4 linked regions of the Arabidopsis thaliana genome follow. The protein of the gene in region 2 interacts with the protein of the main gene of each other region in a pairwise test. Each region holds a gene or a part of one and is shown on either strand. Other genes may lie near its edges. The genes, in order: BTI3, PRA7, AT5G27970 and AT2G34460.

The links.
Region 1: the proteins of PRA7 (region 2) and BTI3 interact in a two-hybrid assay, tested with the Arabidopsis thaliana proteins (one large-scale study listed by BioGRID).
Region 3: the proteins of PRA7 (region 2) and AT5G27970 interact in a two-hybrid assay, tested with the Arabidopsis thaliana proteins (one large-scale study listed by BioGRID).
Region 4: the proteins of PRA7 (region 2) and AT2G34460 interact in a two-hybrid assay, tested with the Arabidopsis thaliana proteins (one large-scale study listed by BioGRID).

What each region holds. Positions count from the first base shown.
Region 1 is NC_003076.8:16,632,640-16,640,191, reverse strand, and holds BTI3 (VIRB2-interacting protein 3), read right to left. Parts: upstream 4,164-7,552; 5' UTR 3,963-4,163; coding exon 3,761-3,962; intron 3,544-3,760; coding exon 3,363-3,543; intron 3,284-3,362; coding exon 3,142-3,283; intron 3,058-3,141; coding exon 2,988-3,057; intron 2,899-2,987; coding exon 2,720-2,898; 3' UTR 2,284-2,719; downstream 1-2,283. Other genes in the region: CHX18 (cation/H+ exchanger 18), read left to right, coding at 1-325, 403-1,638; AT5G41590 (LURP-one-like protein (DUF567)), read left to right, coding at 6,296-6,577. UniProt on the Arabidopsis thaliana protein: Plays a role in the Agrobacterium-mediated plant transformation via its interaction with VirB2, the major component of the T-pilus.
Region 2 is NC_003070.9:20,585,245-20,591,881, forward strand, and holds PRA7 (PRA1 (Prenylated rab acceptor) family protein), read left to right. Parts: upstream 1-3,152; 5' UTR 3,153-3,205; coding exon 3,206-3,775; 3' UTR 3,776-3,955; downstream 3,956-6,637. Other genes in the region: PLDEPSILON (phospholipase D alpha 4), read right to left, coding at 1-240, 354-739, 823-2,204, 2,293-2,385; AT1G55200 (kinase with adenine nucleotide alpha hydrolases-like domain-containing protein), read right to left, coding at 4,065-4,163, 4,258-4,407, 4,530-4,677, 4,755-4,831, 4,907-5,067, 5,162-6,132, 6,216-6,310, 6,388-6,542 and 1 more.
Region 3 is NC_003076.8:10,001,535-10,009,710, forward strand, and holds the start of AT5G27970 (ARM repeat superfamily protein), read left to right. Parts: upstream 1-3,185; coding exon 3,186-3,290; intron 3,291-3,535; coding exon 3,536-3,721; intron 3,722-3,809; coding exon of another isoform or gene 3,810-3,848; coding exon 3,849-3,938; intron 3,939-4,238; coding exon 4,239-4,309; intron 4,310-4,426; coding exon 4,427-4,582; intron 4,583-4,852; coding exon 4,853-4,970; intron 4,971-5,071; coding exon 5,072-5,127; intron 5,128-5,224; coding exon 5,225-5,279; intron 5,280-5,372; coding exon 5,373-5,429; intron 5,430-5,547; coding exon 5,548-5,649; intron 5,650-5,799; coding exon 5,800-5,880; intron 5,881-5,998; coding exon 5,999-6,051; intron 6,052-6,106; coding exon 6,107-6,148; intron 6,149-6,314; coding exon 6,315-6,384; intron 6,385-6,648; coding exon 6,649-6,712; intron 6,713-6,828; coding exon 6,829-6,977; intron 6,978-7,075; coding exon 7,076-7,203; intron 7,204-7,287; coding exon 7,288-7,345; intron 7,346-7,509; coding exon 7,510-7,607; intron 7,608-7,696; and 6 more.
Region 4 is NC_003071.7:14,526,440-14,533,779, forward strand, and holds AT2G34460 (NAD(P)-binding Rossmann-fold superfamily protein), read left to right. Parts: upstream 1-3,118; 5' UTR 3,119-3,195; coding exon 3,196-3,297; intron 3,298-3,401; coding exon 3,402-3,584; intron 3,585-3,657; coding exon 3,658-4,050; intron 4,051-4,128; coding exon 4,129-4,293; 3' UTR 4,294-4,460; downstream 4,461-7,340. Other genes in the region: AGL29 (AGAMOUS-like 29), read left to right, coding at 511-1,029; AT2G34450 (HMG-box (high mobility group) DNA-binding family protein), read right to left, coding at 1,479-1,529, 1,692-1,772, 2,092-2,136, 2,242-2,302, 2,534-2,692, 2,948-3,009; UREG (urease accessory protein G), read right to left, coding at 4,461-4,544, 4,638-4,742, 4,835-4,956, 5,067-5,268, 5,359-5,419, 5,625-5,828, 5,920-5,972; AT2G34480 (Ribosomal protein L18ae/LX family protein), read right to left, coding at 6,477-6,818, 7,322-7,340.

The sequences.
Region 1 (7,552 bases), on a different chromosome or scaffold from region 2:
TGTGGTGGGTGTTTTGATTCCAAAGGAAGGACCTTTTGCTGGTGCACTAGTTGAGAAGGTGGAAGATCTTGTATCCGGTCTCTTCCTGCCGCTTTACTTTGTGGCAAGTGGTCTGAAAACTAATGTGGCAACGATCCAAGGAGCTCAGTCTTGGGGTCTTCTGGTTTTAGTCACCGCCACAGCTTGTTTCGGTAAGATATTGGGCACTCTCGGTGTTTCCCTCGCCTTCAAGATACCTATGCGAGAAGCAATAACATTAGGATTCCTCATGAACACTAAAGGATTGGTCGAACTCATCGTCCTCAACATCGGAAAAGATCGAAAGGTATAACTTTTTCAAATCCTTAACAATTTGCGTCATGAAAGTTTATAACTTAAATCTTTCTTTTGTTGTGTCCTCAGGTTCTTAATGATCAGACATTTGCCATAATGGTTCTAATGGCTCTCTTCACAACCTTCATCACCACACCAGTCGTAATGGCAGTCTACAAACCAGCGAGAAGAGCGAAGAAAGAAGGAGAATACAAACACAGGGCAGTAGAACGAGAGAACACAAACACACAGCTTCGAATCCTCACATGTTTCCACGGAGCAGGAAGCATTCCTTCAATGATAAACCTCCTAGAAGCATCAAGAGGTATCGAAAAAGGCGAAGGGCTCTGCGTTTACGCTCTCCACTTACGGGAACTATCAGAGAGATCATCAGCTATTCTAATGGTTCATAAAGTTCGGAAAAACGGAATGCCGTTTTGGAACAGAAGAGGAGTAAACGCAGACGCTGATCAAGTAGTAGTTGCTTTCCAAGCTTTTCAACAGCTAAGCAGAGTCAATGTCCGACCAATGACAGCAATCTCTTCAATGTCTGATATTCATGAAGATATCTGCACAACAGCTGTAAGAAAAAAAGCAGCCATTGTGATTCTTCCGTTTCACAAGCATCAACAGCTTGATGGTTCGTTAGAGACTACACGTGGCGATTACCGTTGGGTTAACCGGAGAGTTTTGCTTCAAGCTCCTTGTTCGGTTGGTATATTCGTTGACCGTGGACTCGGAGGTTCAAGTCAAGTCTCAGCTCAAGATGTTTCTTACTCTGTTGTTGTTCTGTTCTTCGGTGGTCCTGATGATCGTGAAGCGTTGGCTTATGGATTACGTATGGCGGAGCATCCCGGAATTGTTTTGACTGTTTTCCGATTTGTGGTATCGCCGGAGAGAGTCGGAGAGATTGTTAATGTTGAAGTGAGTAACAATAACAACGAGAATCAGAGTGTGAAGAATCTGAAATCGGATGAGGAGATTATGTCTGAGATAAGGAAGATATCTTCGGTGGACGAATCGGTTAAGTTCGTGGAGAAACAGATTGAAAACGCCGCCGTGGATGTTAGATCGGCGATTGAGGAAGTGCGGCGGAGCAATTTGTTTTTGGTTGGTAGAATGCCAGGTGGAGAAATTGCATTGGCGATTAGGGAGAATAGTGAATGTCCGGAGCTTGGACCTGTAGGAAGCTTGTTGATTTCGCCGGAATCTTCGACAAAAGCATCGGTTTTGGTGATTCAGCAGTACAACGGCACCGGAATAGCTCCGGATTTGGGTGCGGCTGAGACGGAGGTATTGACTTCTACGGATAAAGACTCTGATTGAATGAATCATTGGTTAAAAACAAGAACGGTTCGGTTCGGGTCAGGGGTTGGTTTACCATAGTTAGTGAAAAGTTGGTTAATGAATACGGTTTAATCAAAATGACTGTACTTGGCTTTCACTGTTTCATCTTTTCTTTCTTTTTTGTCGTCACTGTTCATCTTTAAGTTTTTTTGCTTTTGAAAGTAAATGGTTAAATGATGACAAAAAAAAAAATAATGGTTGTTGTAAAAAAAGTTATCTACTTTAATCGGAAAAATAATAAATTTAAAAATCCAGTCATTGAACATAAAACTAAAAACAGAAATGTCAGAAGTGGGGTTTGAACCCACGCCCTCTTACGAGGACCAGAACTTGAGTCTGGCGCCTTAGACCACTCGGCCATCCTGACTTTTGATATTGTTTTCTACTACAAACTATATATAGTGATTAACACCTAGTTGTCTACCTTACGTATGTTGCTTACTTTAAGTAATTATCCAGATTTGATGGTTATCATACCGAAAGCGTTTGGTATTGTGGAATCCACTTTTTGTGTGATTATTTTTGTCGAGAAATCGTGAAATCGCAATTTTGGCAAAAGAATTATGAACAAATTTTTTTGGAAAATTATCAAATTGCGTTTAACCTAGTTCATATACCAATCATTTTAGCTTTTCCTATGAACAAGATGTTGAGATGATGAAAGAGATGGAATGGGAAGAATATTATTAGTCAAATAAAAACAAGAAAGATTCTTATGAACTAAAGTTAGATCGCAGTAGCAGTGAAGAGCGAAAAACCCACGAAACAATTTGAGTTTATGTGTATGGACCAATCCTCAGACATGATGCAAAATTGACATGACGAATACCATCATGGAGAGCTGTTAAAAGGATGAGAAATTAACTAAGACAAATAACTAACAACAATAATTATCATCCATCCGTGTTCTCTCATAATCTAAATATTTTTAGTTAAAACCCCCAAATTTATAATGAACATAATAATAACAAGAGATCAAAGGGTTTATCAACCAACAGCTTCTAACAAAACATGTCTTGAACCATTACTACGATTCCAATGAGAGAGTAACTCACATTCCTTAATCCTTCTTCTTGTTCAGAGCTCCTCTTGGAATCTTGCTTATGACCTTACGCAATACCTTCTCATCAAGTACTGCATATTGCTTTTTGATCTCCCTCATCGCCTTCTCCCCATAGGCATCTACTTTGTCCTCATACTTCTCGTAGAGTACAGGAATGGTGAAGAGAAGGACAGTAGCTGGAAGCAAGAAAGAAAAGCTGGTTATCAAGATATGCAAGTATGATTCCTATCAGATTAAATGCAGTAAGATGTAAATGAATCGTTACCAGTGTAGAACAATGTCAAGAAGTTGTAGCAGCTGCCAATAATGGACAAAACCCACAAGCCAGCAATTACCTAAAACATGTGCAAGCAAGTATTAGCATTTATGAGGAACATAAGAAAACCGCTTTGCATCGAGGTAGATAACATGAACAATACCAGGATAAATTTCTTGACATCTTTTCCTGATGCAATGTTCCTAAGAAGGGTCAAACCACGATTGATTTCAATCCTTAATCCAGAAACAAGTTGAAGAATAGGATCTTCAGGGATGTGAACTTCCGGGATGTGAGGAGTTGACCTGAGGATAAGAACTCAGTTGATCAGGCAGTTATCTCATACTTAACACTTAACATATAAGGGATGTTGTAAGAACATACTTGTGGATGAATGTACAAGCATTAGACCACAAGAACAATGCTGCAAGAGCAAAAATCGCAAAGTGACAGAGAAAAGCGAGGAGATGGTATTCGAATAACTCGAATAAGACCCAAGACGCAGTTACAGCACCCAAGACTCCACCAGATACCTTCTTGTTCCTCCAAAGGAATATATCAGCAGCTACATGCAAACAATGAATCCAGATTCAACATAGTTTCTGAGTATTTCACAAGATTTAAGCGTACTTTCGAGCAAAGCAGACAATTAAGCACTCAAATACACTCAATTTTAGCTTCAAATTAGAGCAACATTCACTAGATCGAGCAAAATCACTATGTAAGATACAAAATCGAGTAAAATCAGAGTTCAAAGTGAAGAAATAGAGATAGATCCATACGTTTTCCACCACCGAGAACCTTGTGAACAGGTTTCTCCCTTCCGAAAAGTCGGTAAATCTTTGACTTGAAGGACGACGACGAAGACGATGTAGATTTCTTATCGTCGTCGGAATCGGACAGAGAAGACGAGTCACCGTGGCCATGGATCTTCTCAACAATCTTCTCCAAGATCGATTCCTCGTGCTTGTGGTCTTCCACCATTTTTGTTGATTCTACAAACCTCCGAGAAGAAGAAAAAAAAACCTAAAACTCTTTACTGATTGAAGAGTGTGGGAGGAGACTGTGACGAATAAAAGCGTGTGCTTCAGATTTAATCCCACCCCTTGATTTAAAACATTTAATCCAGTCCGTTTGATTCGGGTCTGGGCCTCGAGTAGGTAACCGTCCACGGTGGAAAATCAAACTATTTATTTTGTAGCAGATGTAACATATTTGGCGTGGAACTAACGGTCGTTAATTAATGTGAATATTCCCGATAACGTCTCCGTTAGTGGAACGTTAGATGTCGGCGGATAGGATCCAGCATTGGGCCCATTTATGGGATTGTTGGTACAGTATTAAGGCCCATTTATTACTGATCCATTTCATAGTAAAAATAAAAAATTGTTAGGCATAGTAAAATTGTTATGAGAATATGTTGATAGAATGAAAATGCTCCTAGATGAAAGATGATCATACACCTGTTGATTAAACATTACAAGGTCACAGATTATATATATTGACATCTCAAAAATTAACCAAGACGCTGCGTTTTGGAGATATTGGATTTCGAAGACCCGGAAGATAAGAGGAGAATAGTCAGTGACTCTCACGCACGTGGGGTTTGAATTGATGACTCTGGTCTCTTGGCCTCGAGATCTAACTTCTTCCGTGGGATCCAATTTTGAGCTGAGTCATGACACGTGTTACAACACGTGTGCTCCACTGTGTCGACATCACTCTTGAAGGTAAGATTTTTTGGAGTAATGGCAAACCCAGAGATCAACAAAATCAGGTTTGACAATGAAAGCTCACTTATTTATTTATGTACTTTTCCAATAATTTGATTAGTCCAAATATATTATTCTATTTGGATATTCATTCATATACATAATTACATACACATGCAGTGTTAGAAGTGAGTTTAATATGGAAGATTCGTCGTCTAGTGTGACATGAAATTCCACCATTTCATATAATTAGATTTTCTTCTTATATATATAATTTTATGCATCTAATCGTGTGGATGAGAATTGTCCTTCACCTAACCAACCTTTTCGAAGAAAAAGAGAGATTTGTTTCTTAATATATCTTCAGAAAGAGAGAGAGATTCGATGACAAAAAGGATAAGAGATTCTTGGAGACCTCAAAAATCTACTATCGTGGGTCTAAGAAGATTACGTGGCTCGTTTTAAGACCCTTGCATAATCTTAAAGTTCTTACCTATTTTTTTTTTTTTGTCGTAAAGTTCTTACCTAATACAGTAATATATTTTTATATTGTATAAAATATTATACATTAATTAATCAAAAAAAAATTCCAATTCAATCCTGAAACAGTGAAACCCATGCGTGCCAAAGCCAAAAATCTGACTACCTTGCTAAGTGCTAATCATTACCCAATCAGAGTTCATATCAGGAATATACCATATCCATAAGAGCTATATACTAATTACTTGCAAAAGTTTGCACCAAACCTTACTACGTACAAAAGAAAAGATCGTAGATGGTCAAAATTGTGGCTTACTATAATGGCTTATTATATAGTTATTTTTAGATAGCTAAATTTCTTGTATATACAATTTTGAGTTTTACGTATAGAAAAAAATATCATATTTGAGTTTGGTAAAAAGGATGAGTAAATAATTTGGAGATTTCAACCTTCATGTTAAGTTTTCATTTTCGATTAATTTTATCTAATTTTTTATTTTAATTTCTTTGATAACCAAACAATGTAATTTAGACTAATCCTTTTGGACTTATAAAACAAAAACAATTTACTATATATGCAAGCTGTAATAGGGTGATTTGAGTTCTAGTCCACTAAATGTAAATGTTACGTACGTTAAATTTGTATTTGTAATGTGATAAAAAAAAATCTAATGACCTGTATTCATTAACTTAAAAAAAATTCTAATTAACTTATAGAATGGTATAATATCTTATCATATTGTATTATTTTTCAAATAACACTAAAAATTTTGACTCATAATTAATAAAACGTTTAAAGCTTTTTAGGTGAAATTCTTATTTTTATATTTTGTAGAATAGTACAGTTTTGTCACTAAGTATTATTTGTGGTCGCATTTAAATATCAAGTAGCGATATTTAAAAACTTTGCAAGTTGATATAAAGAAGAAAAAAATTATAATATAATAAGACAATGATATAATATAACAAAGCTAATATCTTTCATCCACACACATATATATTAGATCTATATATATATATCTCATATGTATACCTAACCTTACCATATTTGTATTGAGAATTGAGATTAATTAGATCTGTAAAACTCTCTTAAAATAGTTAACCAAGAACACCAAAACTACAAAAATGTTCCCTTTCTTGAAGCAACGGTCGAGGTCGGTCCACGGTGAAGATGCACCGTCATCTACAGAGTCCACAGTCTCCGTCGCTGCCGCAGATATTGGAGGAGCGTGTACGACACTCACGGTGTGGAGAAAATCGCTTCTGGTGAGTTGTGAAGGATTCACGGTGATAGATTCGAATGGAGATTTGATTTACCGGGTCGATAATTATGCCCGAACCCGACCCGAGGAACTCATCCTCATGGATAAAGATGGAAACTCCCTCCTCCTCATGCATCGTACCAAGGTAAATATATGTACAAAGTATTTAGAATAAACTTATTTGAATATGTTTTAGAATATGGATCATTATATTCATTGTACACATCATCCTTCAAAATTACAATATCACATTTATTTTAGATTATTAAGAATCAAACCTCTACTAAATCTGTCTCACAGTTGTACTTATGAATCTGTTTTGTTAGCGTTGTAGTTGTAAATTAGTTGTGTAGATATTAGTTCTAGGTTGTAGTTATAAAACATCCAAATACTTGATTGATACAAAACAATAAATGGAGCAACAACAAAATGATTTATAAGAGTTGTGAATTTTTGGTGGAATTTACCAAAATGATATAGAAATACTTTAAAAATTGAAAGAAGTTTTCGTCGTCCTTACGGATCACTCTAGCGAAGTATCGGATCGATTTGCTTACAACCATTAGAATTGTGATAGTTTGTAAATAGTACTTAAGGTCGGCGATATGTTGATAATAATGAACAATGAATGTTGAGTATTAATTTCGCTGATAGACATGTTAGCCGATTTTGTAGAAGACGTTTTGTTTTTAGCCGATTGAAGATATGTATGAACGAAGATATTACGAATACTATAGTATATATATTATTAAGATTGAGTAGGACCAACTACACTACCGTGACACCGTCCACAATAGGTCACGTCAAAAGTTCATAAATATTCTGCATGTGGACAATTGTATTGGCAAGAATTTCGTGTAACCCGTTACATTCTTTGGGAATAGATTTACAAAATTTCATTCAGCATAAAAGTTTTGACTATAAAAGTATAATCATAATTTCATAACGACGTCTAGAATCTCCGAGTATTATATGTTTGACTTTTAGTTTCACCAAAATCTAGCTATGCCTAATTTCGTTTAAATTGATCAATTTTGACGTGACTACGTACATATGGATCTAGATATTTTTACTCAATGCAATTTTATAGACAAGTACTAGTTTGAGTTTAAAATGTTGT
Region 2 (6,637 bases):
CTCCTATTGTCCGTAACCCTCGGACACATTCAAGACTCTCTGGCTCTGACGATGATAAGTCATCTGCCGTGATCTTGCCACCGGTATGCTCATACCAGAGCGATAACCGGTAAGCTTGGATTTCGTTGGTGTTGTTGGTATTGGTTTGGTAGCAACCTATTGCAATCTCGGTGTCCCGACAACCATCCATTGATCTCTGGTTTATATTGGCTGATCCTATCAAAATGTATGTGTCGTCCACTACAAACATATGACAATCTCTGTAATTTAAATCTTAAGTGAAAGTTTGTGAAAGTTTAACGAATCTTCAATATATTTTCATTTCAGATTGTGAATTGCGGATTGTTTGTTACCTATCATGAGCTTGGAGTGGACATAGACCATGAATCTCCGATTCCTCTGCGCATTCCAGTAATGCGTTTTCTGGTGGGGCGACGAAACTGCTTCAAACTCCCCATCTCTCTTCTCTTCTCTGTTTGCAAGACAGAAGAAGTTTAGATAATCCCTCGGATGCGACTTGTCTCCAACTTCCCATATCGCCTCTCCAATGATCTGATACATCATTGACATCGTCTCTCTCGTCCAATGAAGTATCTCTTCAACCGTTTCACTCTCCGGTGGCCCTTCCGGCCACATCGGTATGACTATATACACAGCAAATCTCTCCCTTGCACGTATCTTAGCAGCAATCTTTAACGCTATTTCGACAGGTATCAAGTTTGTGCATCCGCTGCAGATTCTATCCATCAAAAAAAGAAATACTAAAATAGATCAGAATCTCCCAATGGATATTTAATAGCTTCGTTAAGAGAAATTTCGTACTTATCGTTCTTGCTCTCCCAATGATCACAGCTTCCCATGAAATACTGATTCTCGATGTAGATAAACCTCTCAGCCTTTCGAATTGCTGCGACATAGCCATCGTGTACACTCTTCTCTACCGGCAAACCTCTTGGCATCTCTGTTGCCGATATGTGATCTATCGATCTCAGAACTTGAACATTCCATTTCCTGTTATTTTCCTCAGTAGGTCCGGTTAGGTTTACTAAGTTTCTGATCCCTGAAGTGTTAACCAACACGGAAGGGTTACACTGTTTCGTCCATCGCTGTTCGAAGTTCTTCAGGACATCCCAAGCCGCTCCTCCAACCACGGACACATGGCAATCATGCCATGGCTCTCTTGGTCCGCCTCTACTTAGCTTAGCTCCAGCTACACTTGTCTGGTAAAAATCAGCTTCTGTTCCGAGTGTACGAAACAGTGAATGCTCCTCAGTGTCATATCGACCATCGCAAAGGTCAAACCCGCCAAGGAAGCTCATGATCTCTCGCTCCTTCGTGCTTGAATTTGTCACCCGTGTATCCAGTGTTATTGTCTTTTGGTGGTGTGCAAACGCTGTAGGGAGCTTTTTGTGCAATCTTGGACACAATCTACAAACAACGTTTGTGTTTCTGAAGTAAGCAAGAGCTCTTTCGACGTTTGTTCTCATTACACCTTTGTTCTTGATCATTGGTAAAGACGTCTCGTCGTTCCACAACATTACTCTCACCGCTACACCTTCCTCTGATTTCCGTTTCAGAAGCTCGCCAACCGTTACTCCAACCGCATGTGGAATCTCAGTTTCGTTGTCGCGTACAAGAACAAGATTAGGGTTTAGTGCCCATCCTGCAATGTAAACCAAGTGCCTAGCACTTTCGATCGCTTTGTAAACATCTTCCCATAGATTCCTTGCATTAAAAGGAACATCATCAACCCTTGGATCAAATGTGGCCTTGTGGTGTGCATCTTGATACAGTACGACTCTGCAGTTCGATCTTTGAGGGAAGCTTGCGTTCCTAATACCTTGAAAAGACGCTTCTTCAAGCGCTCTGCACCATCCCGGTTCAAGATAAGCCGGTCTGAACCACATCAAACACTTAAGCTTCAAGTTACGTTTCGTTGACCCATTGTCTGCAATCAGAGGGAAGAACCCGTTGATAACTGCTGAATTAGATGTCAGGATCTGTTCTGCAGAGATTCGGAATCTTCCGAGAACAGAACATCGAGTCTTGAGCGTGATGGTGATAGTCGTGTCAGTAACCGGGTGAGCGCAGAGGATCTGAAAAGTCTGATTCCAAATACGGTCGTATTCTGAGCTTGTTTTAGCAACTTTCTTCTTGTTTATCTTGATGGTCACGTAAGCTGCTTTTGGCTTTGTACATATACACTGTGAACAAAGATAACAAAAGCTCATGAAAATGAACACAATGATAACATCATCAGAGTCACTAATTCAGTATATGATATAGACTTACATTGAAAGGAAATGGAGGAGAAAAAGGTGTTGCATCGAAGATTGTAATCTCTAGTGTTCCATGAAAGTACTTCTTCTGTTCTTCAAGCTCCATCTTCTCTTTATTCAAAATGTATCTTTAAGAGAATGAGAGATAATTTTCTGTGAATTGTCAAGTATGTGTTTGAAGCTGGTCAATTACAGAATGCACAAGGTTATGTCCATCCATATATGTATATGTATTTGTTAATGTTTTTGGTGAAACTTGTAGGATTCTCCATGGACAATCTTAAAGAAAACATTCAACCATATAGATGACAAAATCGAAGGTGAAGTGTCTTTGAATACAAATCAAGCATTCGACTTCGGTTTTTAAAAATAGGAATTTTAAAAAGCAAAGTGTTAGATGGTATTCAAACAAAAGGTTGGGACTAAAATGTGAAAGCATGAAAATATCTGGTGGAGTTTGTAAATATTTGTGGGGATAAGCCACGTGCAGCAACAAAGCGCTGCCAAAGAAACCACTCGGTCGCAGTTTCTTTGGTGAACTAATAATATGAAATTTTTATTCTGCCGGAAAAAAAAATTAATCCTTCTAATGAATAAAATTATGCTGTTTACAAGTAATTAATCAGATTTATGTTTTGAAAATGACAGAGAATATAATATGCTGTACATTTTCCTAAGAATATGTCTCTATGATGCTGACTGTTAAACACATATAATACCAATATTGTTACCATAAATGTACAGTTGCAAAACAAATAAAAAATTATTACAATATAAAGCATTTATGTATTTATTGGGCATGTAACAACTTTTATCCATATGTGACATTTACATTAGCACCATCACCTAATCCATAGGGACACTGAGCAATTTATAAATTATTACAACCAACAAAAAAAAAAGCTTCGTGTCTCTCTTCTCCAAAAATGACGAACTACGGGGCGATTCCGACGTCGTCTCATCCATCACCGGCGATAGATCTCGAATACATCTCACGCGCCAAACACCGTATAAAATCCGGTCTAGCTACGCGCCGCCCATGGAAATCAATGTTCGATTTCGAATCAATGACTCTCCCTCACGGTTTCTTCGACGCGATCTCGAGGATCAAAACGAATCTCGGCTATTTCAGAGCTAATTACGCCATCGGAGTTCTCTTCATCCTCTTCCTAAGCCTTCTATATCACCCAACCTCGTTGATCGTGTTATCAATCTTGGTCGTCTTCTGGATCTTTCTCTATTTCCTCCGTGACGAGCCTCTTGTTGTTTTTGGTTATCAGATTGATGATCGGACGGTTCTTATTGGTTTATCGGTTTTGACGGTTGTGATGCTTTTGTTGACTCACGCTACTTCGAATATTCTGGGATCTTTGTTAACCGCCGCCGTGTTGGTTCTGATTCATGCGGCGGTTAGAAGAAGTGATAATTTGTTTCTTGATGAAGAAGCTGCGGCGGTTACTGAAGCTTCAGGGCTGATGTCATACCCTTCGTCGTAAATCCAAAAATTTGTTTTTTTTTTTTGTATGTTACTGAGTTTGGTGCGATTTGAGAAAACTTGACATGTTCTTCTACTTTGTTCAATTTGTTGACAACAGTACAATTTTTGAGTATGTTTTGTTGGTTAATTACGTTATTACATGATTAGCACTACAAACACTAATCACTTTGGATAAAGCTACTAAAAAACCATAATTGTCAATTAAGAGGACTTTGATTTTACAAAATTCTTCTATTGATCCTACGCACTATACCAAAAGAAAGTGATCAGATTGGCTAGTTGAGCTTTTAGTTATGATCTCTGAGACCTTTCTCAGTGGATAGTCTTCCATTAAACCTCCCTGAGATTTCATTCATTAACATATCTCCTTCCAATAAACGCAACACCTTCAACAACAAGCAAAAGAGCAGACACACTTGAGAGAGTTTTATTGACTTAAAGAAATGAACATGTTTCAAGAATGGTGAATCTTTTCTTTACCTGAGACATGCGAGGACGCAAATGTGGATCTCTACGTATACACAATGAAGCTGTATGAATCATGCAAATGACTTGTGTTTCTGAATATCGCTTTTCGAGCCTCGGATCAACTAATTCCTCAACCGCATACTCTTCTAATAAAGATCTTGCCTGCTCACAAAGAAAATAAAATAACAAAATGAGCTTCAAGAAAGAAACTTTTAGATTTCATTTACAAGAAGAGACTGAAAATGAGCTAAGAAACCTTAAAAAGAAGAAACTTATGGATTTACCCATTCAGTTAAACATTGTTGTCCCTTTGGTCTGTAGATATCCATTGCTTTACGACCCGTGATTAGTTCGATCAATACAACCCCGAACGAGTAAACATCGGCTTTCTCTGTGATTTGTCCACTTTGAGCATACTCTGGAGCTAAATAGCTAAAACAAGAAACACAGAAAGTAGTTGAGAAATTACTCTAGAGTGAGAATGATGATTTAGTTATAAATTTTGTTACCCGAAAGTTCCTATCACACGCGTGTCTACACCTAGCTCTCCATCAGGCTGCCATCTTGCTAAACCAAAATCTCCAACCTGAAAGAGAAACAAAAACAGAATCAAACGAATGTATAAAAAAGTGTAAATTGTGGTTCAAGAAAATATAAATACCAGTGGTTCATAATCATGAGTAATTAGTATATTGTTAGGCCTCATGTCTCGGTGAACAATGCAACCTACTCTACACTCTTCATGAAGATATCGAAGACCTCGAGCCGCTCCAACCGCTATTTTTTGTCTTGCAGGCCATCCCAAAGTGTCCTTATGGCGACCTAAATGGACATTTCATGAAAGTTAGTTAGATAACTCTAGTTAAGTGTTTTTTAGGTTAACAACATCTTTAACTAACTTGGAAACTCTATTTACCGTATAGATGAGAGTCTAATGATCCATTGCATATGTATTCATAGACCAAGAGTCTTCTGGTATCTTCGATGCAGAAACCGATTAACATAACTACGTTTCGATGCTGAGCACAGCTCAAAACTTCTACTTCAGAGCAAAACTCTACATCTCCTTGTGTACTGGCCACTTTGTGTTGCTTTACTGCTACAATCTGGCCTTCAGGTAATACACCTCTATGAACAGATCCAAATCCACCTTCTGCCAAAAAATTAGCTCGCGAAAACCCGTTTGTTGCAAGCTCTAACTCTTTGTAGGAGAAAAACCTCGGTGGTTTTCCAAATACAGGCGCTTTGTGCTGGCATATAGAACAGAGAGGAGGTGAAACAGGAGGAGCATTTCGTGATAACGCTCTTAAGGTTCCACTATACTCCTCCAAGTCTTTCCTTTTACTTGACATAGCTGCTTCTTCTCCTTCATCAAGCTTAGAAATTTTCTCAAGCAAAGCCTTTTTAGTAGATACTTGAACAGCCTTATCATCGCCTCTCGTTGATTCCTGCATCGAGACGCAATGAGTGCTAAGATATTCTGATATCCATGGTTGGAATCTCTTACTTAAGGAAGGTAGTGATAGATTTTCGCTCTCTGAATCAGAATCAGATTCATTCTCTTTGACGACCAAAGTTTCATCCTTTCTCACTTCAGCTGTGAAAACTGGCGATGATGTACCGAGGTCAGAGCTAGATACTGATGAAGTCCAAGCTTCTGTTCCTGTGAATGATGTCTCAACCTCAGGACTGCTCATTGGAGTAGTTGTAACAACCGCTTTAACAGAATCTAACAACCTGTTTTTGTTTTTTTCAGATGCTAATTCTGGTTCCTTTGTTGAAGACCCGACCAAGTTCAACCGCAGGACTTTTGCCTCAGAACGCTTCATCGCCACAATGTTACATTGTAACTCATCTATGCACCGTTTCTCTTCATGCTTAAGGTGCCTGTAAAAGAAATATAATCATTCAACCACACAAAGAGAGTAAAAACTAAAGAACTGAAGAATAAAATCAGATTATTAACTTACTTATCAAGAACTACCCAATTTGCTTGAGATTTCTTGGCCTCAGCCGCAACAGCTCCACATGGTGATCCAGAAACAATCTTGATCCTGACATTAACCTTCAAAGAAACAAGCATGAGAATAACTCTAGATATTTCAGAATATCATTATTTTGATGGTGGACTAATTTTCAAACCTTGTTTGGATCATATACATCATGAAGCTGGAGAATCATTTGGGAACAAGTATCAGTGAGATCACTCTTTATCTCAGACATTGGATCAGAATGCAGTTTCCAATGACCAGTAGCACAATCTCCAGCAAACCTAGGGAAAGTCCATAGCTTTCGGCCTAACAAAAAGACCAAACAAAAGAAAGACAATGAATAAAACAGAGCAAACTAATCTCCATGATTGGATACCAAAGAAGAAGAAAGTACCAGCATT
Region 3 (8,176 bases), on a different chromosome or scaffold from region 2:
TGATAAACCATAAATCCTCAAGGAACTACACATAATATCATGAGAAGAGATCAACATGAGGTTAGGATCCTTACCCAACAAGCCGGTGACAACCGGTGATGACTACGACTCACGTTACGCGGCGATCTACTTGACGTTGCCACCTCTACACAATAGAAACTGCATCCACGAACCAAACCGACGACTCCGATCTAAATGTTAGTGTCTTGAAGTTGTAACTCTCCTTAGTTTCTCAATGTTATGATCGATAATGGTGATGAAGCAAGGTTGCAGGGACGAAGACGACGTTATATACACATGTATATACACACTTCATGATTAGGTTTTGTTGTTAGGTTTTTGTTGGGCCTATAATGGGCTTAGTGAGAAATTGAGTCTCACATTGAAACCTTATATTACAGATAAAATCTTAGAATTAATGGATTTGGGTAGATAATAATATGGGGCGCTATACTATAGGTAAAATCATATAATTAACAATCAAAATATAAATATACAATCTTAAACACTAAATAGAATTATTTTTTTAAAGAAACACATCTCAATTCTTTTATAAGAAGTTTATACATTATAAACGTAAAATGGTCTCTATTTTCCCACGAGAACGATCGTATCTAGCCAGATAAAGCCCGATCTTTGACCTTTGTCTGTATACACATGAAACGGAAGTTAAATGCTTATTTCCCCACCAATTGAAAGTTCGAGAGCTTAATGTCCATGAATCCTGGTTTCGTCGGTTTAGTGCGTAAACCCGAGACGAAACAATGTTTCGGTCGTAACTTAACCAAAAAAAAAAAACAGATTACAACCTATTGTCGTTGTCTTCATAAAAATCAAAATCCCAAAACCCCCAAATTCAAATTAAGAACCCTAAAAAGCTGAATTCTTAATTTTGTAATTGAAAACCGGATTTCCAGTTTAGGATGAGCAACCTTTCATCGAGTTCGACGGGATCAACGGGACCACGTGGAAGAGGAAGAGTGGTCGAAGTGCCATCAAGATGATGGTGCGAGGAACTAAATTGGTAGTCAACATAAAATTGAGGATTTAAATCACCAAGTACATAGTTCATGCTTTAAACCAACGAAAATGGTAAACTAATGATTTAAATGACATTTTTCCCAATGTATATATATAATAACTACCCAACACTATGAATCATGATAGTTCCTTTTTTCTTTGATAATATTAAGGACATCAAGGCACTAACAAACATGGCAACCTTATGAAAGTATAAAACAATTTACATAACAAAAAGGTTAAGACCAATTAGTTTAACTAAAAATGAATGTTATCGAATTTACAAAATTATACGTGATTTGAAGTATTCCATTATATACATTTTTTTTGGGACAAATTCCATTACATACATGTTTTTTTTTGGGACAAATTCCATTACATACATGTTTTTTGGGGACAAATTCCATAAACAAAAAATACTTCACTTTTTTTCTCTCTCTCGGGCAACTTTCTAAATCTAGTTTTTTTTTCTTCTTTTTTTTTATTTCTTTTTAATCTTCACTTGAGGTTTACGACTTCAACGGTGAATCAAGGGGGAGCAAGCTTCCTTCTCCAACAACGGTGATGTGTGTTATTCGTCATGTGACGCATCTATGGCTCTTTCATGGCGGTTTGAGAAGCTATGATATCGTTCGCTCTGATTCGAGGACGGAGGTTTCATAGACGAGTGTCTCACGGCTCATCCGCCCTATTGGCCGCTGCGACTAGCGGTGGAAGTTATCCGACGACTTTTTTCGTGCTATGTTTGTCAATCTCCCAAAATATTTCTGTATCTAGATTATTCTTTTTTGGTTCATTATAAATAAATATATTTAATTTTAAACGTTCATAGTGTATTTTAAATTTGGAACCAATAAAATGGGAGAGAAATAACACATGTCAAATAAAGAGATGACATATGTCACAACTTTAGAACATATGTTTTGTGAAAAACTTATTTTATTATATAAGATATGTTGGTTGTAACAAAAAATAAAATAAAAAATTCTACTTCACGGGTTCTCTCCTAGTTTCTTTAATGAGTTATCCGAACCAAATAAAAACTTGATTCGAATCCGGATTTTATTCAATCGAACTGAACTAATCAAAATTTCATCAAAAAGTAATAAATCTTCTTAATATATTTATATCATTGAAACATATTAAAAGTCTATAAAATAATTAGGTTTTTAATAAAGAAATCCAGCCCCAATCCAAAAGAAAAGACCAACTAATTCCTCGCCTTTTGCAATTTCGTATAATTATTTCCCAATTTTTGTGTTTGTTAATTAAATCTCTAAATGTTCGCTGACTTCATAAATTTGGATTACGTAAAAAACGACTTTCATTAGTAAAAAGCTGAAGAAGAGTGGTGAACATATTGTACCACGACCCCTCTTGTTCTACACATCTATCGAAAAGCTTAGAGACTAACAATATTTTATGTAAGAAAGTTGTTTTTTTTTATTCTAGACTTTCACATGATAACAAAAAATATAACATATATCTAGCTAGATATTTACATAATGATTCCATAGTAGAATCATATTTTTGTTTGTGTGAAATGATTGTAATGTTTTCCTCATCTTGAAGATTCAAATCCTTTTTTTCAGAAGTTGTACAAACCACAACCAAATATCTTTATCTTCCACCTCAACCATTGTTTAAAGAATTAGCTACAAACATTTACGGTTATCTTCCACCTCAACCATTGTTAACAGTTAGACTTTTATGAAGTCAACAAATTCTTAAAGACAATTGGCAAACGCAAAATTTAGTCATTTTATCCAAAATTCTAAACTGAAACGGAGCCAAAATAAAATTCAGTTTTATTTGGTGCCTAATTTATAAAATCCAATAATACGTAACCCACAAATCTCGAACCAAACTATACCAAAGAATACCCAAAATTAATATCAGATTTGAGGCACGTGAGATACGCCTGCTAAGATACACACAGCTCGAAATCTGAGTCCTTCTCTTCTTTTTCGCCATCGGAAAGTTCTTACCTTCGATTTCAATTTCTTGCTTTCTTCTCAGTTCGTCACGATCGGAGCTTTTTGTCCGATCTCAAATGCCCAAACTCCTCCATTTAGTTATCTTCCCGGTAGCATCTAAGTAGCTTGAAATCCCTAATATCGGAGTTGCTCTCTCCCAGAAAATCTCGAGAGGTTCAAGTAACGAAAATGGCTTTGGTGGCGGCTTTAGAGGCGGATCTTCGCGCTCTCTCCGCCGAAGCGCGGCGGAGGTATCCCGCCGTGAAAGACGGAGCCGAGCACGCAATCCTAAAGGTTAGGATTTCTCCACAGTAATGTACAAGTGTGTTGTTCGAGCTTGAATTCACTGTAATCATTGAGATTCAAATTGGTGTTTGTTTTAGTTAATTCGCATTATAATTTTCCACTTTAGACTCTAAAATTGAATTGTTGAACTCAGTGAGCTTGGAGAATGGATAGCATTTACATTGTTGGAATCTTTGTTGGAATGTTTCTGGTGAATTGAATTGTTAAATGTGGAGTCATTCTTGCTTTTTCAGCTTCGGTCGTCATCGAGTGCCAGTGATCTTTCAAGCAATGAAGACATTCTTCGGATATTTCTGATGGCGTGTGGAGTCAGGAATACAAAGCTTAGTGTTATAGGACTTTCCTGCTTGCAGAAGCTTATATCTCATGATGCAGTTGAACCATCATCTCTAAAGGAGATACTTTATACATTGAAAGATGTAAGTTGGGGTTTCTGTACCTCTCTGCATTATATTAGATAGTAATATAAAGCTATCCTTCGTCTTCTTCTTTTTTATTTGAGTTAAGGCAAAACAGCTATCTGACGCCGTGTTTCCTTACTTGCAGCATTCAGAAATGGCAGAAGAAAATATTCAACTAAAGACTCTACAAACTATTCTAATAATATTTCAGTCTCGACTACATCCAGAAACAGAGGTGAATACACCAAGCTTGATCTAGTAAGAATGGAAGTCTAACACAAAACTGCTGGTAGTCGAAGTTGGAAATTTAACAAAACATCAATCCTGATCCTGGTCTTTAACGTAAACAAAACTTAAAATAGTTTTATGCATATAACAATAGAATGCAGATGTCAGGAATTTTTTTTTTTTTTTGGAGTGACCCATCAAATAAGACCACTAAACCAAACTGTCCTGTACTAATGTAAAATCATTAGTTCTCCATTGATCTGCTTGCTTGTTGCTTTGATAACTTTAGCTTCTTTCTTAATTCCAGGATAATATGGTCCTAGGACTAAGCATCTGTCTCACGCTTCTTGATAATAACCGTCCTCCTAGTGTTTACAAGTACGTTGCTTTTATAAAAACCTTACCTCATTTCTCCTATATTATTATTTTCTTTTACTTTTTTGTTTTACTTTGTCAAAAATAAAATTTATGGTTTTGTTTTTTTTGGTCTCCTAGTACTGCTGCAGCTACCTTCAGGCAAGCAGTTGCATTGATTTTTGATCAAGTGGTTTCGGCTGAGTCCCTTCCTATGCCTAAATTTGGTTCGAGCAGTCAAACAGCAAGGACTGGATCAGTTACTGGAGATTTGAGTCAGAATATCAATAATTCAGGGTACGTCAGTCCTGATCAATTCTGTCTGTTGTACTCTTTTATCTTAAACTTTGTACTGTCTTTACTGGGTAAATATAGTATTAGAGCTTTGTGGAATTATGGTTATTTTTATACACACTGGGGGATGAAATGATTACATGCCGGTTGATTTGAGCTTTTCCTGATGAAGTGAAAGACATAGGCTCTCCTTTTTGAACTTACGCTTTAGTCAATTGGAACCTTGGCATTTGGTATTATTTATTTGATAGACTAATAGAATTATGAAAGCAGGCCCTTGGAGAAGGATGTTATCGGTGGTCGATTGACAATAAGAGACACCCTGAGTGAAACCGGTAAACTTGGTCTGCGGTTGCTTGAGGACCTGACAGCCTCAGCTGCAGGTGGATCTGTATGTGTTACACTATATTGATTTTGGTGCTGTATCTTTTCTCCAGCTAAGTATCGTTAAAGGGATATCACCGAATTAATTGTTATATTCATGCTTTACAGGCAGCTTGGTTGCATGTTACTTCTCTTCCAAGGACGTTTTCCCTCGAACTAATTGAGTGAGTTGGCAAGGCTTTTTAAACTCTAGTTGCATATGTTGAAGTGAAAGTTGAAAAATCATGTTTAAAATGCACGAGTTCTCAATTTACTTGGCAGGTTTGTTTTGTCGAACTATATATCAGTTTTTAAGATACTACTTCCCTACGAACAGGTAATGCTAGGATATTTCCTGGTGGGCACTTGTTTTTCATCCTTCCATTAGCGTGATGACCTAACTGTAAAAGTTTGCCTATTTATTCATCAGGTTTTGCGTCACCAAATCTGTTCCCTTCTGATGACATCGCTTCGGACCAGTTCAGAGGTAAAATCATGCCTCATTACCTTTTGTATTGTATGCGTCCATGTGATCTAAAATATAATTTGGATTAGCATTAAAGTATATCGAATGCGCTTACTTATAAGATTTTGTTACTGCTCAGCTCGAGGGAGAAATGGTTGAACCTTATTTTCGCCGGTTAGTGCTGCGGTCGGTTGCGCATATTATAAGACTGTATAGTTCGTCTCTCATCACAGAATGCGAGGTACAGTATGCAAAACTTTACTTGTTCATTTTAAACTTTGTGCTATTGACCACAAAGGAACAAGCACATGAAATGTGTTCTGCGGATGACTATGATCTCTGCAAGTTCTCTTTACTGATGTGCGTCCATCCCATTTCTGTCTGTGCACAGGTGTTCCTAAGTATGCTCGTGAAAGCTACATTTTTAGATTTGCCATTGTGGCATCGCATTCTTGTTCTTGAGATTTTGCGGGTAATCGTTACATTCCATTATTACTATTTGCACATGTATGTATCACAGAATAGGAATTTGTGCTCAATTCTTTTCAGTTCACATTTCTAAGGTATCTTGTGTGTCTGTGCATTAATAGGGGTTCTGTGTTGAGGCAAGAACATTACGGATTCTTTTCCAGAACTTTGATATGTAAGGCTAAATACTTCTCTTTGTCCTTGTGATGTACTCAATGTTGCATGTTTAGGAAACTCCCGTCTCGTTCTTTCTTCACACTGCAGTTGAAAAAGTTTCTAAATCTTATTGGTTTTTCTTGTGATTCTACTAACTTTTACTATGGACTTTTGGTAAAGATTGTAATGTTATGTCTGGTGTTATAGAATTCTCTGTTCGTCCTTTTTTTCTTTCCCTAATTATGTCTCTCGTGTGATCTAATATTAACTTTGTCTTTCAAGGCACCCCAAAAACACGAATGTTGTGGAGAGCATGGTCAAAGCACTTGCTCGAGTTGTTTCTAGCATACAGGTGGGTGTGTAGGGCAGGACGCCCGTTATGTTTCCTGTAGTCTCAATTTGCATTAGTTCTAGTAGTCGCTAATTTTGATTTGTTTATTAGTTGGTTTTAGATGTGCATTTAGTTTTACTTATTATGTGTACCTGAAAAGATTCTATGGAAGAATTTCAGGAACTGTATAGTGGCTTGTTTATTATAGCTCAAGAATTGAAATCGCATAATAGGAGTAAAACTTGGAACATAGCTTAATTCTAGAGTTGGTTTCCTTGGAAGTAGTTTCAGGAGACGAGTGAGGAAAGTCTAGCAGCTGTTGCTGGGATGTTTAGTAGCAAAGCTAAAGGTAACCAATTATTTGATGCTATGATGATTATTCATTACCTCTAAGGACCTCAGAATTCGATTAATGTTACTTCATTCTAAGAAAGATGTCATTAAATATATTCCCTATTGCTGTAGGAATTGAGTGGATTCTTGATAATGATGCATCCAGTGCTGCTGTTCTCGTTGCGAGTGAAGCTCATGCAATAACGTTGGCAATTGAAGGCTTACTTGGAGTTGTTTTTACAGTTGCCACATTAACAGATGAAGCAGTAGATGTTGGGGAGGTAATTGATGCAGGGTTCTCCTCTGCTATTACATATTCTTTCTACTCTTTACCTGATTGTCTCTTGTGTTTCATACTTACATTTCTTCAAACCATCAGCTTGAATCTCCCAGATACGAGCATCTTCCTTCATCAGATTATACTGGGAAAACCTCACTTCTCTGTATCTCAATGGTAGATTCATTGTGGTTGACTATACTTGACGCATTTTCCCTTATATTATCAAGGTATAACAACCCTTTTGTCAGACTATACATTGATTGTGAAGAGGCAAACACTGAGGACTTTGTTTAAAATAATTGTTCTTGAAGGTCACAAGGAGAGGCAATCGTATTAGAGATACTGAAAGGATATCAAGCATTTACTCAGGTAAATGCAAACCAGATTCGAAGTGTCCATATGTTATGTGGCTGCTAATTGTCGATGTGTGGAACAAATGTGTCCCTGCTATACAGTTTTTACATTGCCACTTAAGCGTATGTTGTCTACCTATCCAGAAGAATTGACGGGTATCCTTCAAATAATTTTTTCAGGCATGTGGCGTTCTCCATGCTGTAGAACCCTTGAACTCTTTTCTTGCATCGCTTTGTAAATTTACTATCGTTTTGCCAACTGATGTGGAAAGGAAAAGGTACCTTGAATATTTTGCTATATATCATATGAAAGTTACTTAATCAATGCAAGCCAGATAACTTTTTGTTATTAAATTTGTAATTTCAGCAGCGTCGTACAGTCGCCTGTGTCCAAACGTTCTGAAGTACAGGTTGATCTGAAAGATGTCATTGTCCTGACACCCAAGAATGTTCAGGTATTTAATTTGATATTCTTTATTTAGGGTTTCATTCTTTCGTACATGCACATCTTGAAACAAAAAAAGTATTCTTACCCATTTATAATTATTTGGTTAAACGTACTTGGCTGACCTAAGACCGTCTGATCTTTGTTCAGGCATTGAGAACACTCTTCAACATCGCTCACAGGTTGCATAACGTGTTGGGCCCATCATGGGTGTTGGTGAGTGTTTTGCTTCAACTATGTTCAAGTAATCTATCTCTTGATAACGAAAATCCTAAATGAATACAGGTTCTTGAAACTCTGGCAGCCCTAGATCGAGCTATTCATTCTCCTCATGCAACTACCCAGGTAAATTTGGCAAAACCCCATGCAGGATTCTGTCTTTTTACTTGTATAATACAACTT
Region 4 (7,340 bases), on a different chromosome or scaffold from region 2:
CCAGAATATAAAATAAACTTCTAAATTTTGAATTACATAAAAAAAAAAAAAAAAAGAAAGACCAATTATGAATACCATTTTTAATTCTTTACAAGGTAATGAATCCCATCTTTTGTCTATGTTCTTAAGAAATAAAGGGAAAAAATATGAATTGTTAAAGATTCATGTATGTTTTGAATACACAATTAGAAACTATTCAATAGAAAAAAGAAAAATGAAAATTTAAATATTCATGGATGTTTGAATACACACAATTAGAAACTATTCAACGCCCATATAAGGCAATTCAAGATTTTCAATTAAAAACTTGCTAAATCTGCACCCTTGTGATTCTCCACCTCCATTACTATATATGACCCTCGTTAGGTTCAATGAAAATTCTCTACCTCCATCTCCATTACTAAAAACAGAGACATACAACACCAAAATCTTCTTCTTCACCAACATATTCACTTTCACAGCAAAAAAAAACGAGAGGTTCTCTCTTATTCGTACCGTTTTAGCAAACAAATGGGTCGGAGAAAGATCAAGATGGAGATGGTTCAGGACATGAACACACGACAGGTTACCTTTTCAAAACGGAGGACTGGTTTGTTCAAGAAGGCGAGCGAGTTAGCCACGCTCTGCAACGCTGAGTTGGGCATCGTTGTCTTTTCACCAGGAGGCAAGCCTTTCTCCTACGGGAAACCGAATCTTGATTCTGTTGCAGAGCGATTCATGAGAGAATATGATGATTCAGACAGTGGCGATGAAGAAAAAAGTGGTAATTACAGGCCTAAACTGAAGAGGCTGAGTGAACGTCTCGATTTGCTCAACCAAGAGGTTGAAGCTGAGAAGGAACGAGGCGAGAAGAGTCAGGAGAAGCTTGAATCTGCTGGGGATGAGAGATTCAAGGAGTCCATTGAGACGCTTACCCTCGATGAACTCAATGAATACAAAGATAGGCTTCAGACAGTCCATGGTAGGATTGAAGGTCAAGTCAATCACTTGCAGGCTTCGTCTTGCCTCATGCTTCTCTCCAGAAAATAGCTAGACCGACTTGTTAGAGTTACATTCTATTTTTTGTATCAGCCTACAGAACTTACCAACACATGAAAGTTATTGCTGGTGTAGAATTTTCTGTCATCTATGGGGTGTGACTTTCTATTTGACATCAAATGAAAATGTACCTGGAAATTTGTCTGTATTAATCTCAAGTGTACTTGCTAAACTTGATCAGCTTTTTCGTCACTCTGCAGTCTGGAATTTTTGTTTCAAACAGAATCGAGACAATAAAAAGAAACAGTAAAACCCTTTGGCAACCACTCAAGAAACTGGTTAGTATTCATTGATCTCCAAATGCAATCCACAGAAACATGAGTATCAGTGAAAGAATGATCTCAAAAACGAAACAGAAACTCTTAAATATCACCGATATACAAACCCATCCTAGAAGGCTTAGAACAATGTTTCTAATGTGGTAGAAACTAAAAAGTAATCTATTCAGAATAGTCTGAGTCGGTCTCTGATTCATCGTGGGCACCTGATTCCTGCAAAATAGTAAAATGAAAAGCTCAGACTAATGTTTTATCACCGCATCAGTGGGACACTGATGTGAATAAATATTAAGCAAAAACAAGGAAAAATGAAGAACCCACTGATGTGAATAAATATTAAGCAAAAACAAGGAAAAATGAAGAAAACGGTGGTACCATTCTCTTGGTATATTCTGTCATTGCTCGGTGAAATTCTTCCCTCTTCTCAGTAGCTATATCATAATACTTTACCTTTTCCTACAAAACAGTTGAGGAACAAACAATCTAGGAGTAAGAAACTTCCGTCAAGGTCTCAACCAAAGATATCTAGGTAAGAAGAATAAAATGAGATATTGTTCGCCAAAAAGAACAAGACTGGCAACACCTGACTCATTTTAGAACATATCTATCCAACCACTATATATGCTAACATGAAACCTATTTCATTGCTTTTGTGAGTCATCCCAATGTCAGATATCATACATTTGACTATGATTTGAATAACATTATAGAGGAGACTTTTAGAAGATAGAGACAATAGACTAACTGGGACAGAAAAGCGAAACCCAAATGTTACCTCGTAAGTCATTGTTTTCCATTTCTCTCCACATGTCTTCCCAATCTGTACAGAATGAAGAACAAAACAACTTTAGCAAAAGAATCAAAGTGAACATAATAGCCACCATGTTTTACTTTGACATACAAAACCAACAAAGTAATATTCTACAACCTCGCGCATGGACTTGACATCTGGATTCTCCTCTTGATATTGCTTCCGGAAATCATCCCTTTGGAGCCAAAAAGATAAGACAATATGAGGCAAGAGGAAAATGAATACAACAAGTGTTTCTTCGTATGTTTTCTAAAGTAACCAGAACACATAACAACATAAATAATCGCATCCTAAAGACCAATGGCAAAATGCACACAAATTTCTACTTAAGAGAAGACTTAAGGAAGTCCAGCTGAGCTTAAATATTTAGATAACAATTTGGAATCATATGAGAGAGAGTACCTACAGGAAAAAGAAGAAAGCAGTGGCAGGTTTCTTGGGCATCTTCGTTTGGAGTTTAACGGGTTTCTTCTTGGGGCTTGTCTTTGGCTTTCTCAAAGGCTGAAGTCTCAGTCTTGTAGACCTCCTTGCACCTTCACTTGACTTCACAGCCAACTCTAAGTTCCTGCCAAGATTTTACAACACAATTAACAAAAATCTAACTAACATCCTCTTTCCTTGCTCTTCTTCTCACCCATTTGCCATTGGATAGCATAAAGTTCACAACTTTCATATCCAATTCCCTATCTAACCACTTAATCAGTAATAACCAGAGAGACTAAGCAGAACCCTTAAACCCTAAACAGAGAAATCAAAGCAAAACCAGGTGTAAAAAGCCAAACTTGTTCTGTAACCTATCAAAGCCAGACACAAAACTTACCGACTAGAGCCTCCGCTGCACGACGGAGACAAAGGCCCTGACTTGGGAGCTCTCTTCGTCATTTTCTCTCACTTTCTCGGAATCGAACTTTCGTTCGCTGCCTCTTTGGGGTTTTTCCGTAATTGCGTACTGAAACAGATTGTCGGAGACCTTTGCCACGTGGCGTAATCTAATCAACAAAAAAGGCAAAGATCAAAAATTTACAATTTAACAAAAGTTAACGTTTGTGGCAGAGAGGTTACACATCGATGGCAACATCTTTGCTTCTCAGACATTCCTCAGCTGTCTTCTTCTCTCAGTCTTCCTTCTTCACCAAGAACAAATCTTTTCGCTCCTTTACTTCCATCAAAGTAAGATTTATCTGTAATAAAACCATTGATTCTAGAATCTTGTATTGAATTGTGTGTTTAGATTTCCCCAATTCTGAAATTGACTTTGCTTGTTTGTATCTCAGATGGAAAAAGGTGAAGCAGAGAATGCAGTGAAGACAAAGAAGGTGTTTGTCGCAGGAGCAACTGGACAAACCGGGAAGAGGATTGTGGAGCAGTTGTTGTCCCGTGGCTTTGCCGTCAAAGCTGGTGTTCGTGATGTAGAGAAAGCAAAAACATCTTTCAAAGACGACCCGTCTCTTCAGATAGTATGTTCTTGGTCTTAATCCAATGTTTTCTCGCTCTCATTTTCTCACAACTGCTCTGTGATTTCTTCTATAGGTTAGAGCAGACGTGACAGAAGGTCCTGATAAGCTAGCTGAAGTTATAGGTGATGATTCTCAAGCTGTGATTTGTGCTACTGGGTTTCGTCCCGGATTTGATATATTCACTCCTTGGAAAGTCGATAATTTCGGGACAGTGAATCTTGTGGATGCTTGCCGTAAACAAGGAGTGGAAAAGTTTGTTCTTGTAAGCTCCATCTTGGTGAATGGAGCTGCCATGGGACAGATACTGAACCCTGCTTACCTCTTCCTCAACCTCTTTGGACTAACTCTTGTCGCTAAGCTTCAAGCCGAGAAGTATATCAAAAAATCTGGCATCAACTATACTATAGTAAGGCCTGGTGGTCTTAAAAACGATCCTCCAACTGGAAATGTTGTCATGGAGCCAGAGGTAAAACACAGCCTTTGATATTTGTTTCATCTGTTTTGTGCTGGAAACTGATAAAGATCTGACCTTTGATTTTTGTAGGATACTCTATATGAAGGGAGTATATCGAGAGACCTGGTCGCAGAAGTTGCAGTGGAAGCTTTACTTCAAGAGGAATCATCTTTCAAGGTTGTGGAGATAGTTGCTCGTGCCGAAGCTCCAAAACGTTCCTACAAAGATCTATTTGCCTCTGTTAAAGGACAATAAACTAGAATGTAATGAGTCTCATGCTCAAACCTTTTATTTCTCTTATGTCTTGAGTACAACAAACAGATTACATAGACTTTTGCGCATAAATTGAGTTCAAGATAAGTATTGAAAGAGTTCCATTCAGTTTCATATCTTATCCATTTTGGGTCTTAAGAACCCCATCATCACTGGCGCTTCTTCCCGGTCGCATGTTCCCATGAGTGCATGACATGGTTCACGATTTCCTCGACTCCAAGCCCATGCTTCACCTGCCAATGTTTAGTAATCAAAGAAGACTCTTTTGTAAGTACTAAGGTCATTGGTTATATAAGTGATGAAACATATTTCTGAAGATGGCGAACCTGAGCAAAGACAAATGGCCCTCCATCACGCATGCGTAGTGAATCCCTTTCCATGACCGATAAGTCAGCCCCAACAGCTGCTGCAAGGTCAGTCTTGTTTATCACCTGCAGTTGGAAAAATCCACAAGAGATTCTTTCACACTACTATAGACTTGATCAAAAGGAGTAAGTGAAGAGTTAAGGCAGCATAAGCGCACCAGAAGATCAGCTTGAGTGATTCCAGGGCCGCCTTTACGGGGTATTTTATCACCAGCCGATACATCGATGATGTAGATGATATAGTCAGCTAGTTCTCTACTGAAATTAGCAGCTAAATTATCTGCAACACACAACACTAAGCCTATTCATATCTCATTGGTTCCTTGAGAAACAGAAATCTATATATCGTGCAGATTAACTATCAAGAACTAGCTAGAAATGAAACCTCACCTCCACCGGATTCACAAAGAAGCAAATCAGCCTTGAATAAGTTAGATAACTCCTCAAGAGGACCCAAATTGATACTGATATCTTCACGGATAGCAGCGTGTGGACATCCACCTGTTTCAACAGCTCTAATCCTTTCCTCAGGAAGAGCCCCATTCTTCACCAGAAACTCACCATCCTCTTTCGTGAATATATCATTTGTCACCTACAACGTTTACAATATCAAAATCTTATTTAGTCACATGAGTGAGATCGAGAAAACAATCTTGTGTTTGCCACTGATAATAATACTCACAGCAGCAAGACTATATTTGTCCCTCAAGAATCTACAAAGAGCAAGCATCAATGCCGTTTTCCTGAGTCAACAAAAACAACAATCCAATGGTGATTAGACTAAAAAGTTTGACACTTTTATGAAACCCAAATCTTAAAATAGCATTCCAAAGAACCCAGACAAGAACATTATCATAGATTCATGCTTAATCCTTAACCCAGAGATTAAAATTTGTTACGGTACCAAATTACAAAATCAAGCAGTAAATTTGATCATGAAATGATTACCCAGTGCCAACGGGACCGCCAATACCGACGGTAAAAGCTCTCTCAGAGAAGTTACGGTCGTGAAGCGGAGGAGCTCGGCGACTGAAGTAGCCAGGAGAGTAGATGGGTTCGTGTGAGTGAGGTGCGAGTCCATCGTGGCTATGGTACACCTTCCCGTCCTTCCCCACCCACGACGCCTTCCCTTCTCCGCCGTCTGATTTCCTACTTGACAGAAGAAGTAGAGAAACAGATTAGTGAGGGGAATAAATCGTATCAAGATCAGAACTTTACAGAGAAAATCAATGATAACACGAACTCGTGGTCATGCTCATGATCGTGATGATGATGATGGTGGTCGTGTGATGCCATTTCCGAGAGACTCGAATCTTCTTCCGGTAGCTGTGTTGACTTTGAGTAGAGCTACTACTGGGATTCTGGGATCATTAAGCACAGTTTTTAATGTAAGAATCTTTCTATATTTTTCTATCCTAAGTGAAAGGAGATGCTTTCTCTGTCGGGAGCATAAAATGACTGTAATACCCCTGTCATATGTTAAGTGTTTGAAGGCAAAATTACAGTAGAGGAAACGTATTTTAACTGACACCAAGTTGGTATCACAGTCCAAGACTTAAAATCTTTCACTTTAAAGAAGCGATGGTTGTTAACACAATAAAGAGCACAAAATATAGGAATTAAGGGAAAGGTTTTTTCATAAGTAGGAAACAAGAAGCATAAAATCCAGACAAAGTCGAGTTCACATTCATGAGTACGCCTAACATATTGAAAAACAAAAATAACCGATAAAATCCAAAACGGGAGAGAGCACAGCTTCAACATCGATTCCACCCCAAAAAAGAGTCAATCAGAGACGTTTTACATGAACAAGTTGGGCTTGTTGGCCTTGTAAGTCGTCTTCAGCTTCCTGCTTGGTGGTCTAACCTTGCGGAACACCAATGGGAACTTGATCTTGCTGTTGTGGAACTGTTTAGTGCTCTCTCTCTTGCACAGCTTGGCTGGGACAGTGGCTGTCTTGATGATCTGAATGCAAGGGAATCTGACACGGTGACGGGATGCCATCTCAGTGTACATCTGCTCAACAGCTCCGTTAAGAGTGGTGTCACGGTACTCCTTGTACATGTTGTGGTACCCAGTTCTACTCTGGTACCTCAACCAAATACCGAAGTTCTTGATCGTTGTTGGGTTCTTCTCATAGATCTGTGCAAACAATTTGGTAATAGATTACATTAGTCAAGAGAGGGGCCAAGGAGCAATCAAACAATATAAACTCATGATAAAAACGTGATATGGTTTCAATTTCGATTCAATAGCAAGTCGAGAGAATCAAGTAAGAGACTTTGGTGAATCTAAGTTTTCTCATTTGATGACAGACAGCAAATGAAAAGTATTAACCTAGACTAACAGACAAAGAAATTATCAGAATCAGCAAAATTAGAAGTATGATACAAATAGATTCAAAGCCATGAGAGATTTGCATGATCAGGCTATTTGAAAGTTACATAAAAGTATTGTATAATAGTCAGGCAAACAAAAGACTCTGCATTTATAGGTTAAACAAAGACGCAAACGTGATCAATCAAAACCCTAGTGTTCTAGTCAAGCAAATACATTCACTTTCCAGATAAATGAATCTAAGTGCCTAACTCAATAAGATATAAGAAGTCAAACGAGATTGCGTCATTTCACAAATGAACAAGTACCTCGTTGATGGCGAGCATC